Mus musculus: one gene and its partners. The protein of the gene in region 2 purifies or fractionates together with the protein of the main gene of each other region. This does not show direct contact. Links are inferred from orthologs where the notes say so. Each region holds a gene or a part of one and is shown on either strand. Other genes may lie near its edges.

The links.
Region 1: the proteins of Rictor (region 2) and Prr5l purify together in Homo sapiens (affinity purification with western blotting; 3 studies listed by BioGRID and IntAct, with this or other methods). This does not show direct contact. The link is inferred for Mus musculus from reciprocal best matches to the Homo sapiens genes RICTOR and PRR5L.
Region 3: the proteins of Rictor (region 2) and Flna purify together in Homo sapiens (affinity purification with mass spectrometry; 3 studies listed by BioGRID and IntAct, with this or other methods). This does not show direct contact. The link is inferred for Mus musculus from reciprocal best matches to the Homo sapiens genes RICTOR and FLNA.

What each region holds. Positions count from the first base shown.
Region 1 is NC_000068.7:101,731,609-101,735,257, reverse strand, and holds part of Prr5l (proline-rich protein 5-like), read left to right. Parts: intron 1-512; coding exon 513-653; intron 654-3,649. UniProt on the Homo sapiens protein: Associates with the mTORC2 complex that regulates cellular processes including survival and organization of the cytoskeleton.
Region 2 is NC_000081.6:6,784,857-6,788,505, reverse strand, and holds part of Rictor (rapamycin-insensitive companion of mTOR), read right to left. Parts: intron 2,131-3,649; coding exon 1,125-2,130; intron 857-1,124; coding exon of another isoform or gene 785-856; intron 1-784. UniProt on the Homo sapiens protein: Component of the mechanistic target of rapamycin complex 2 (mTORC2), which transduces signals from growth factors to pathways involved in proliferation, cytoskeletal organization, lipogenesis and anabolic output.
Region 3 is NC_000086.7:74,239,936-74,243,584, forward strand, and holds part of Flna (filamin-A), read right to left. Parts: intron 3,231-3,649; coding exon 2,982-3,230; intron 2,891-2,981; coding exon 2,793-2,890; intron 2,705-2,792; coding exon 2,557-2,704; intron 1,985-2,556; coding exon 1,866-1,984; intron 1,786-1,865; coding exon 1,708-1,785; intron 1,615-1,707; coding exon 1,452-1,614; intron 1,369-1,451; coding exon 1,168-1,368; intron 938-1,167; exon of another isoform or gene 881-937; intron 616-880; coding exon 478-615; intron 394-477; coding exon 270-393; intron 148-269; coding exon 11-147; intron 1-10. UniProt on the Homo sapiens protein: Promotes orthogonal branching of actin filaments and links actin filaments to membrane glycoproteins. Anchors various transmembrane proteins to the actin cytoskeleton and serves as a scaffold for a wide range of cytoplasmic signaling proteins.

The sequences.
Region 1 (3,649 bases), on a different chromosome or scaffold from region 2:
ATTGCCCCAACCACTGGAATAGTCACACTCCTTCTTCTTACTCCTTTCACATGCTCCTCACTACTTTTCTTCATTAATTACTTGTGACTATGTGAGAATCTAACATCTTCCGTAACCATGTAAGGTCGATTGCCTGACATGGGATGAGCACTTAAATGTTTAACAGATGAAATTGAGGAAGTGGCCTTGGGGAGGAGAGAGCAGTGATCTTTCTCTCTCTTTTCCCACCTTCCTTTCTCTCACTAATTTCCACCCACTGTAATCTCCTGACACCATGGTCCCTATTACATGGGTATTTTATTGTCTTCGATTAATTAGGCAGGTTGAGCCACACCTTGTCTTAATGCCAGAGGAAACTGGAGCCTGGTCTTCTGAGACAGCCCACAGGCCTTGCCAATGCCTGTTCTAGTCCATCCCGAGTGCACTGTGAACACTTGCCCTGGACTCCTTGAGGCTGGTGGGGATCCAGCAAGCACTCACCTCTTACCCCTCCACATGTCTTCTTCCCCCAGGGACAGGAGCTGACCATCCGCCAGATCTCCCTGCTGGGCTTCCGGGACCTGGTCTTGCTGAAGGTGAAGCTGGGTGACGTGCTGCTGTTGGCACAGTCCAAGTTGCCTTCTTCTGTTATACAAATGCTGCTCATTCTGCAGGTGAGCTCCAAGGGGCCCTGTCCCTTGTGGCAGCAATCAGCCGAAGGATCCAGGATCCTGCTGTGATGGAGGTGGGAAGGAGGTGGAATCACAGAGCCCTGTGGCAGAGCCGTGCATTCTTCTGCTTGTTTGTCCATGTTTCTTGGTTCACCGGTTCCTGTACCTTTGCTGTGCACCTGTCAGGACCCTATTGCTCTACTTAGGGCTAGTCTTGGAGTCAGGAAAGAACTAAACACCTGGAGCCTGATTTCCTGGGAGCTGTGGCTTTCTCCATCCCTCGGGTGAGATTTGGGTACCCACATTCCCTCTGCCCTGAACACCGTTGTTTGGGATAGTCAAGACAGATACTAAATTTCTTCTCCTGCTTGTACCTTCAGCGCCCAGCCCAGAGTCTTGAGCACAAAAGTAACCATTTATTGTGGTGCCGGCTAGTGAAGGGTACACATCCTTGTCAGCCCTTAAACTATGCCAAGGAGCCAAGGATTGAAAACGATGACAAAGTATCTGCTGTCATTGAGTCAAGAGAGAACTAGAACTCCTAGATGGGCTTCATGAAAAAGCAAGACCATGTCAGGTCTCCGAGCTCTGGTCACTTCTTGGTCTCTGTTTGGATCATTCTTCCTGATTTTTCTCTGATGCCTTCTCTTGTGGCCTTGCCCGGATGCTCTTAGACTTGGTCTTTTCTCTGTTTGTGGAATTATTTGGACCAGATTAGATGTGACATGCCATGGTGTTTGTTTCCAGGGAGACACTACCCAGATGGCTCCATCCTGTCTTCTCATCCCAGTCTTAAATCAGCAACAGGAAGATGAGCTAACACTTCTCCGGCTCTGGTTGTTTGCCAGGTGCAGGCACAAGGACTATAAATGTTCTGTTTTTCTTAAACAGTCCAAATAAGCCCTTTTATGAGGTCAGCGTTGTTGTTATTCCCATGCTCCAGATGAGGAAACAAAAACAGGACAGGACTCTTATGCAGTTGAGTGAAATTTCTCAGCTGGTAGGAGGTAGTAAGATTCTCAGATGCAGAACTGTGAGCATCCTGATCCCTTCTGTAGGGAGGGATCTATCTGGTTGGCACATGTTGGGCTTGGATCTCCCGTTTGCCCAATCAACTATGACCTTGAATGTGGTCAGATGGAACCAACATGCCCCAGGGAGCTCTTTCCCATGGATGGGTGTACAGTCTCAGGTTCCTCCATCAGGCTCCTGTTGACTAATGAGATATCACCAGCCCCATCTCCCCCCCCCCCCGCCCCCCACTGCTGTGCTTTTGACTCTCTTGGGGCTATCCTCAGCGTATTCCCCTTTCCTGTAATAAGAAAGGAGGCAGGGTCATCTTAGAGATAAGGGTGGGTATCTTTCTAGAGCTAGCCTTTTTGTAGATAGGAGGATGGGCGTGGCAAAGCGCCCGCAGCTTACATCTGAAATGCTGAATTCAGGGCTTAGCTCCCAAATATGGAGCGTGGAAAAGGAGCCCCTGAGGATTCTAGGACTGAGGTTAGGAGGCTGGACTCCACTTTCTGTTTCTGTTTTGACTTATAACGCCATCCAGTATTACTTACTTCCCCTTCAGCTGTGTCAAAATACCTGACAAACACAACTTAGAAGGGGAACTGCTTACTTAAGCTTACAGTCATCGTTGCGGAGAAGGCACAGTAACGGGAAGGTGAGGCAGCTGGCCACGCTGTATCTTGTATCTGTATCAGCAAGTAGAGAGAGATGAATGCTGGTGTTCAGCTGGCTTCCTCTTTCTATGCAGCCTGAGACCACAGCCCAGGCAATGGCTCTGTGCGTGAGGTGGGTGGGTCTTCCCACCCCTATTAACCTAGATATGCTGCCCAAGGGGTGTTTCCATAGTGACAGTCAAGTTTAACTACCATACATCTCTTTCCATGTATGGTCATGGCTGCCTTTTGAGGACCCTCCCCATCTGAAAGTGGAGCATGCAGACCTGTTTCTGTAACAAAAGCCTTTTGAGGTTCTGGGGTTTGTGTGGAACAACCCAACAATACATGACATCACCCCCCTTAAAGTCTCTGAAGGTGTACCAGAATGTCTATCTACTCTGGCCTGTCCCCTTTCCCCACCACGGTGTGTATATGCAGTTCTTTGCAGCTGATCTTAGGGAATCTGCTCAAGTGTGTCCCTGGGCCTAAAGCCCCTTCATCCCTCCATCAGACATTAGAACCTGACTCTCTAATGCTGACCTGTGCTGTGGCCTTCCTGGTCCCTGCAGGGCTAGGGTCTTGGTGCTCATTTTTTTCTCTGCTCTAAACACTGTTGTCCAGAGCAACTCTTAAACTTCTTCCCTATGCTGTGCCCTCAGCACCCTTGGTCATAAAAGTAGGTGCTCATTGAGCATGGCTCAGAAAGTGATGGAACCAGTTAGGAAGAACCCAAGATCCCTGGCCTGAGTCCCATGATGGCTTCTTCCTTTAGAAGTGAGGAATATAGCCTGAGAAGTTCCATGGCTGTGTTGAGGTTCTGGAAAACTGGGCCATGAAACAGTCCCCACTGTGGATCTTCCTGTTCTTCCCACGTCAGGGTACTGGAAGGTCAGAGAGTTAGTTGGCTAACTAACTCAGGAGTATAAACTGAACTGTGTGAGCTGGGTCAGTCAACCAGTCCTAGTCTTTTTTACTCTCTCCACCTCTCAGCCTTCCTTCCTGTCCCACCCCCTCCCCCCCTCCTTTCCAACACTAAACATTCTGCTACCTGAGCTCAGGGAGGGTGGAGCTGGGACAGAGGGGGTAGAGAATCGCCAAGCCTGTTTCTAGCACCACAGTCAAGCTCATCCCAATATAGTCACTCTCTCCACATCTGTCTCTTCCCTTCCCTTTTTAGTCTCAGACTGCAAACCCTGCTTATATTTTGTCAAATTTGCATATAATCTGTAGCCTCTTTTCAGGTTTCTTGTTTCCTTAAACCATCCAACACCCAGGCATCTGTGCCTCATTTGGTGTAGCAGAAAAGGGCCAAGGAAAAGCCCATTTACT
Region 2 (3,649 bases):
AAGCAGCTGTAGCTCCATTTTGAACTGCATTGTTTATTGGATTTGTATAGCTATCCTTCAGGAAGAAAAAAAATGTCCTGCTTAGAAAGTTAACATTGTAAAAGTTTAACCCACGGATCTAGCCGAGTGTCCAGTAGGCCAGCTCAGAGCCGCAGCCAGCCTAACGCAGCAGCTCTAGCCCTCCATGCGTGCCTCGTGGCCGTGTTCCACACTCCCGAGGATGGCAGAGGCAGAGACTCCCAGTTACAACAACCATTACTGCACATTTTTATTAAGAGGGGACACAATTCACTATCTGCTGCCAGGACCTTCTTTATTAAAAATGCTACCTAAAAGTCAGAAATGAGACTGATCTTTTACAGCAGTAACTCCCAATTCTGACAGTGAGCATACCCTGTAAATGAGGGCTCACTCTCTCATTTTACTACCTGACACCTAGCAGTCTGCTTAGAGAAATATAAACCATTTAAACGGACATAATTCAACTACGAGAATTCCCAACAACAAACAGGTGTGGAACTTTTTATAACTGTCAAGTTTCAAAGTGTATCATGGTAAAAAACAAACTTAAACTATACTGTTAATAGCTTGATATACCCTAAATATGGAATATTTAATATATAATTAGAAACTCTTGCTTAGTCTTGAGGACCCAGGAATTCATTTAGTGTTTATTAGGTTCCTTTTTAATTATGTGTACTTAATGCAAAATAATTGACCTGAAGTTTTCAGCTATTTTAACAACTAGTAAGAGGTCACCGTTTGGAGCTTTACCTCGACCTACCTGAAAAGGCTGTTTGTTACTGTAGGTCTTAAGCTCCTGACTCCCCCGACATGCTTCTTTTTAAAATCGATCCTTGCAGAAGCGAGAAATAAATAAGAAAAGCTTGTGACTGTGTAACCTTGCAAACCATGTTTATTTTCAGGGCCTAATGGACCTTATTTTCCCCCCTCGCAGCTGCAAGAATCCATTTCAAATGCTATCAGGTAACGAGGAGCTCTCAGCCTACTGAGGTAAGTGGGTCAGTTCTGAGACTTGGTTTCTGTGGTGCTCAAGCTGACTAGTGTCTTACATTTCAATCTGTTAGAACACGCTGACTCATCTCTCAGTGCATACTGCTCACCTGCTTGGCGTCAGTCTGGATTCAAAGCTGTTGGCCTTCATGGTGATGGTGTCGGTAAAAAGCACATCTTTTGCCGGCGACGCCAAAGCTTCCGAGTGAGACAAGGACGGGTGCATTCTTTGCTGCTGTAACCTTTTCAATGTAGCATAGCCAAAGGCATCTCTAGAGCTTGTGTAGCTGAAGTTGCAATCTGCTAGACTTTTTATTGTTGCAATGGAGGGCGCTTTAAGGGACTGGGCTCTTCTAGGAAGGGTGTGAGAAGAACCTGGTGGCACCAGGGACACTGAGTTCGATTTGGAGAGAGACAGATGGTTAGACTGTGGTGTCAAATAGTGGCTCGTCTTAACAGTTTTAGTACTTACCACGGTACTCAGACTTCCACAGTCCGTGTCCATAGCTGTGGGGTCGACAGCGACTGTCTCTCGGGAGGGGCTCGAGCTCATGGAGCTGATGCCACTCGTCGTAGTGTCCGTGTTAAAGCTCTGGCTGCGGATCTTGATGTGGGAGCTTGCTGAGCCTTCCACAACCAACCTTTCTCGGCTTGTGTTTTCTCTGTGAGTCTCGGTACCAAAACTCTTGGGGAATTTGAGGTCATTCTCTCCAATACTTGGAGTGCTGCCCGCGTCTTCAAGGTGCTTATTCCCAACGAAGGAAGGCTCTAGCTGTAATGATTTCTGTGCTGAGGAGCTTGTGAAGTCTTCGCTGTGATTCAAGTCAACACTGGGCTCCGTAAGTGTTCTGATTCGCCGGTTGCTTGTCTTATTTTCAGATGACAGTTTTCCTCCTTTTGGATCACTGCTACTGCGGTGTTTTTTAGTAGGCAAAGTAAGTGAATTTAAGATACGATTCTTTACAAGTTTGCTGGAGCCAAAAAAGGGAAATGAATTTTTATCTTTTATGGGTCCAGGTCGGTCATAAAATGCTGGCTCAGCATCTTCATTGATGTCAAGGAAAAATGTGCTGGTGGAGGTGCTGCCGAAGCGGTCGTCCTCCAGCATGAACATGCCTGCAAGTCAACAATGGGCTGTCAGTCACCACAGTGCTGAGGGCTACCACACTGTCTAACCAGGCACGGGGACGGGGATTAGTTAATAAAACTGCTTCCCTGAAGCTCAGAGTTAGGATGTGAATGAAAAAAGATCGTATCATGGTGAGGATCTACGAAGAAATCTGCAGTGCTCATCCCAGTGCAGAGTATATGAGGTTCCTATTCCTAGGGATTGTTCCAAATAGTCAAGATAGAGAAAAAGAGCCCTTGAGCACGGACGCTCTTTCTGTTAGACAGAAGCGGCATGGCTTCTTTACATTACAGTGGCAGGAGACACTCACCTTAGAAGAAATGAGTTCCCTAACCCTGAAATATACTTCATCCCTCCACATCCGAGTTAGTCACAGACGGCTTCAACTAACCAGAGACCAAAAATATTCATAGAAAGGTGCTTATATTAAACATGTTCATGTGCCTTTCTTGTTATTATTTCTTAAGCAATTAAGACCAGAACTTAACATTGAGCACTCAGATCGGGCATTATAGAGGATGTAAAGACGATAGAAAGTATGTAGGAGATTTGTATCAGAATCAGTTCTGGTACTGAGGTGGGGGCCTGGGATCTCTCACAGATATTCAAGGATAACTAAACTTACAGAGAATAAAGGCACACTTGCAAGCGTCACACTTAAACCAACTATGTTCACTGTCCATTTTGCCTTATATGCTATTCTTAGTGTCTACCCGTAAGAGATCAGTTAATGTAGGTGTCTGTCCTACATTAATGGTACCTGTAAGATTTATTTTATTTGTAACTGTCCTGTTGAGTAATTATTAAGGACTTTAAATATACTTTGGGGAAAAAAAAGAAAGAAAGTAAAATCCTAAATAAGCTCACACATTACACTGTTTTTCCAAATTTTGCAACTCTAAGATACATCTTTTTATATGGAATTTCTCAGGAATAAATCATGTAACAAAGAGTATGGAGAAGTGTAATGGGCAAGATGTATTTCTTTTTCTTGTTGGAATACGAACATTAGTACATCTTATAATTCAAGTTATCAAAGACTTGGGGTGAAATACGGTTCAAAAAATGTATGATTATCTTTATGTTTTGAGATATGATTTTATACTGCAGTCCATCTGGCCTCAAGTTCACTATGAGCTCCAACTAGTGTTGACAATCTTTGAGCTTCAGGTTTAAGTGCTGGGGCTAAAAAGGTGTACTTGCAGATCCAACCTCTCTCCTTCCTTTCCTTACTTGTGTTGTACCAAACACAAACCTCATCTAGCTGTCCAAGTTGGTCTTGGACTTATCCTGTAGCTTAGAAAGGCCTCGTGATCTTCCAGCATGAGCATCCTGAGGCATGTGCGAACAGGACTAGTTTGTGTTATCTAATTTGTTGCTACTGGTGTTGTTTTAAGACAGGGTTTCTCTGTGTAACAGCCCTAGCTGTCCTGGAACTTGCTTTGTAAACCAGGCTGGCATGTAAAACATGGAGATTCACCTGCCTCTTTCCCCATCCCGCCCCCC
Region 3 (3,649 bases), on a different chromosome or scaffold from region 2:
TCCAACTTACCCAAGGTGCCCACATCATCACCAATGGCCTCTACTACGAAGTCTGCTGACTTGCCAACAATGCCTCCTTCCAGGCCAGGACCCCATGCCCGAACTTTCTGATTGCCACACTCAGTGCCTACCTTCACCTCAAACGGACTGCAGGCAAGAGTACCACACAGGTAAACACCAAGAGCCACTGCCCTATGCCCAACAGCCACTGGCCCCTCACCAGATAGATGGTAGGGCTCAGAACATGATGAATAGTGGAGGGAGCTTACCTTCGACCAATGTTCTGGCCACCCCATGTGATGGTGACAGTGTATGTGCCAGGGATTGTAGGGTAATATTCAAAGCCATACACACCATCCCCTAAGTCCTTCTGCTTTACACGCTCCTCACCCTCTGCAAAAGCAAGGAAGAACTTAGGCCTGCTTGTCCAACCATGACCTGAGGTCTATCACCCACCACCCCACCAGATAAACTTACTGGGACCCTTTACAGTGACCTTTAGCTCCCCACTGCCAGCGCCCTTTGTGTACACCTTGAAGTCGGCTGTTTCCTTCACTCGAACACCCTTGGGCTGAAGGCCTCTACCAATAGCCCGGCAGGCAGCTGGGTTACAGGCTGTGGGCAAATAAGCCAGCTGAGTTGTGGGGAACTGGGGCTGGGTATCCCCTCCCTTGCTACCCAGAAAACCAGGCCATTAGGATTGGAAGGTTCCTCAGAGTTTAGGACCACAAGCTGGTGAAGCACATGCAAGAAAAAACTTAAATGGGTCTAGAACCTGTACCCAAAGCAAAGACATGACAGGCTTTTTCCCACCTGCTTGACACTAACCCCAATACCCCTACCCAGTCCTCCCCACCAAGAGAAAGGTAGATCCAAGTACCGTTGACCCTGCAGGTAGAGCAGAGAGCAGCAGGTTTCTAGACAGCTGGAGCGAGCTCTTCCGAAGGTAAAAGCATGGAGAAAAGAGACGAAGAGGGGCAAAGAGAGGAAGGAGAGCAAAAGGGCTCCAATATGGGAAAGGAAAGATAGTGCTTGCCCAAACAGTGGAAGCTCAGAAACTGGGGCTCCCAAACATGGGCTTCAGTGGGACAGTCCCAGTTGCCAACTCCCTCCCTAGAGCCCCAGGCCATAGTACCACAGTAGAAGAACACTCATGGGCAGGCCTACCTTGGCCAACAGTGACAGTGTAGGGGCTACGAGGGATGGGAACACCGGCGAAGGTGACATGTACTGTATGGACACCCTCCATGGTGGGCTGATAGCTACAGCGATAGGTGCTGTCACCCCTGGCCTCCAGCTGAGGTTCCACTGTGCCTTTCTGTCCTGTAGGGTCCTGGATGACAACTTCCACCTCACCCATGCCAGCTCCTGTCCCAAGGCACAGACTCAGCTCTAGGACCCCAGCACAGCTCTCCCCCATGGCTGGCTGGGCCTGGGCTGTCTCCCCTCACCTGCAGTGAAGATCTCAAAGTAGGTAGTCTTGTTGGCAATATTGCCACTGGGCTCCAGACCAGGGCCCTGGGCAGTCACTTTGCTGGCATCACCCTGTGACTTGTCCACATACACCTCAAAGGGGCTCTTGGCAATATGTTGGCCAGCAAAGAGCACAGTCACCTGTTCCCAGAAGGGGCAGGCTGTGAGAGTGAGGTAAGGGGCCCTTCACCAACTACCCATGGCCACCAGCTTCCTTCTCAGCCAAGGACTCACCTTATGAGTCCCTGTCACTTCAGGGACATACCAGACAGAGAAAGTACGGTTCTTGTCATTATTGGCAGTCACTTTTGCCTGTAATGGGAAGAGTGTTAAGAGCAACCCCTTTAAAAGGGGGCATAACAGAATCCTGCCCTGCTAATGGATAATCCTACCTCTTCCTGGTGTCCAGCTGGGTCCTCCACATATACAAGCACTTCTCCCTGTCCAGCACTTCGGGTCTCCACAGTGAATTCTGCTCTCTTCTTCACCATATTGCCTGTAGGCTCGATGCCTGTCAGAAGATGAGAAAGCCATGAACCAACTAGTAGGGCTACCCTCTCACCTCTATACCCTGGTTCCCAGACCCTAAAGGGTTATGGACACAGCATTAGAGACCCTATCCCTCTGCAGGCTCAGTGCCCCTCCCCCAGCTAGGTACAATCCAATCAGGTAGATTTGTTCAATGTAAACCCAGCATTGAGCCGGGCCTCAGATCCATGCTATATGGGCTATTGCCACCAAGACAGGCCCATGCCTGTTCTCTGAAAAATCTGGTTTGCTGTACTTTCCTAACCCCTTGCACCTGCACAATCCTGACTGCTTCATCTCCAATTATAGAATAGCAGTACACGAGGTCATCCTTCATACGTGAGGTTCTTCTCCTTCAATCAAGAAGCTTCCTACAAGCCAGTATGACTTAAGGAACTTACTAGTATTCCCTTGCCAAGGCACCATTTTTAACCAGGTTTTGATCCATTCATCTTCCTCAAGACCTCTTAGGACCCAAAATGAAAGAGAATACTGTCCCATGGACCGGATATAAGTGCTCAGCCCCTTGGAATGCCACTGACCAGGCCCCCTCACCTGGCCCATAGGCTCGGGCTTTCTTCGGGTTCAGTTTGGGCCGAAGAGGAGCCCCTGGCTTCAGCTTGGCCTTGGGAAACTGAGACAGGTAGGTCATAACAGAATGCTCATCTACATTGGGGTCCACAATTTCTTCTGGGGTAATCACCTGTTACAGACAGAAGACAAGAGCCATTGGGTCTCTCTTCACTTTAACCAAGCACCCCTTAGCTGCAGGGGTCAGTCCGGGAGCATACCTGAGGAATGCCTAGCCAGTCATCAGCCTGCTGCATGGCTTCCCGTGCATTGTTCACAGGCTTACTAGCATCCCAGGAGTCCCAGTCAGGACATAGGCCTACAACACAGAAAAGAACTTGTTGTGAGTCTGGGGCTATAGAGCTACCTTCTAGGTTGACCAGACAGTCTTAGCCCAAGATCTCCCTTACCTGGGGCACAGCTATCAACAAGAGCACCCAGGGCCCGGCCACTCTGCCAGTCTCGACTGAAGTTGGTAATGGGAAGCTGTGGTAGCTTGTTCTGAATCCAGCCTAGAAGCCTCTGCTTGGGTGTTTGCTTCTTGGCCTCCTCATCCTCTTCCTCATCCCACATGGGCATTGAGATGGAATAGTGCAGGATCAGGGTCCAGATGAGGCCTAAGATCAGCTTCAGATTTCCATCCACAATAGCCTTGCTGTCTGTGGGAAAAGGCGTGGCGGCATTGCAGTTAGGGTATTCCCTCATGAAGGCCAGCAAGGAGGGACCTAGGTCTGCAGCACAGCAAATCAATTAGGTGACAAGAGGCCCCTCCCAACTAGGGGTAGAAAGTGGATCAGGCACCCTCTGCCCAGGGCATCTAAATGGTGTAAGAAAATATTTTGTGATAAAGGAGAGTTTGGGGGGGAAAGACTCCCATAGACACATAATACAATCCAATAAAAGGGACCCTGCCAAAAACCGCAAAGCCCAGAAGGAGGGTGGAAGAGCAAGTGAGATGGATGCTGTACAGCTGCTGAGATCAAGACCTGCCCTAATATCTTGAGATCTATGGGAATTGGGAGAAGTGGCTCAGCCCTAACTGGCCAAGAAACAGGGCCCCTGACCTCAAGCTGGGTTG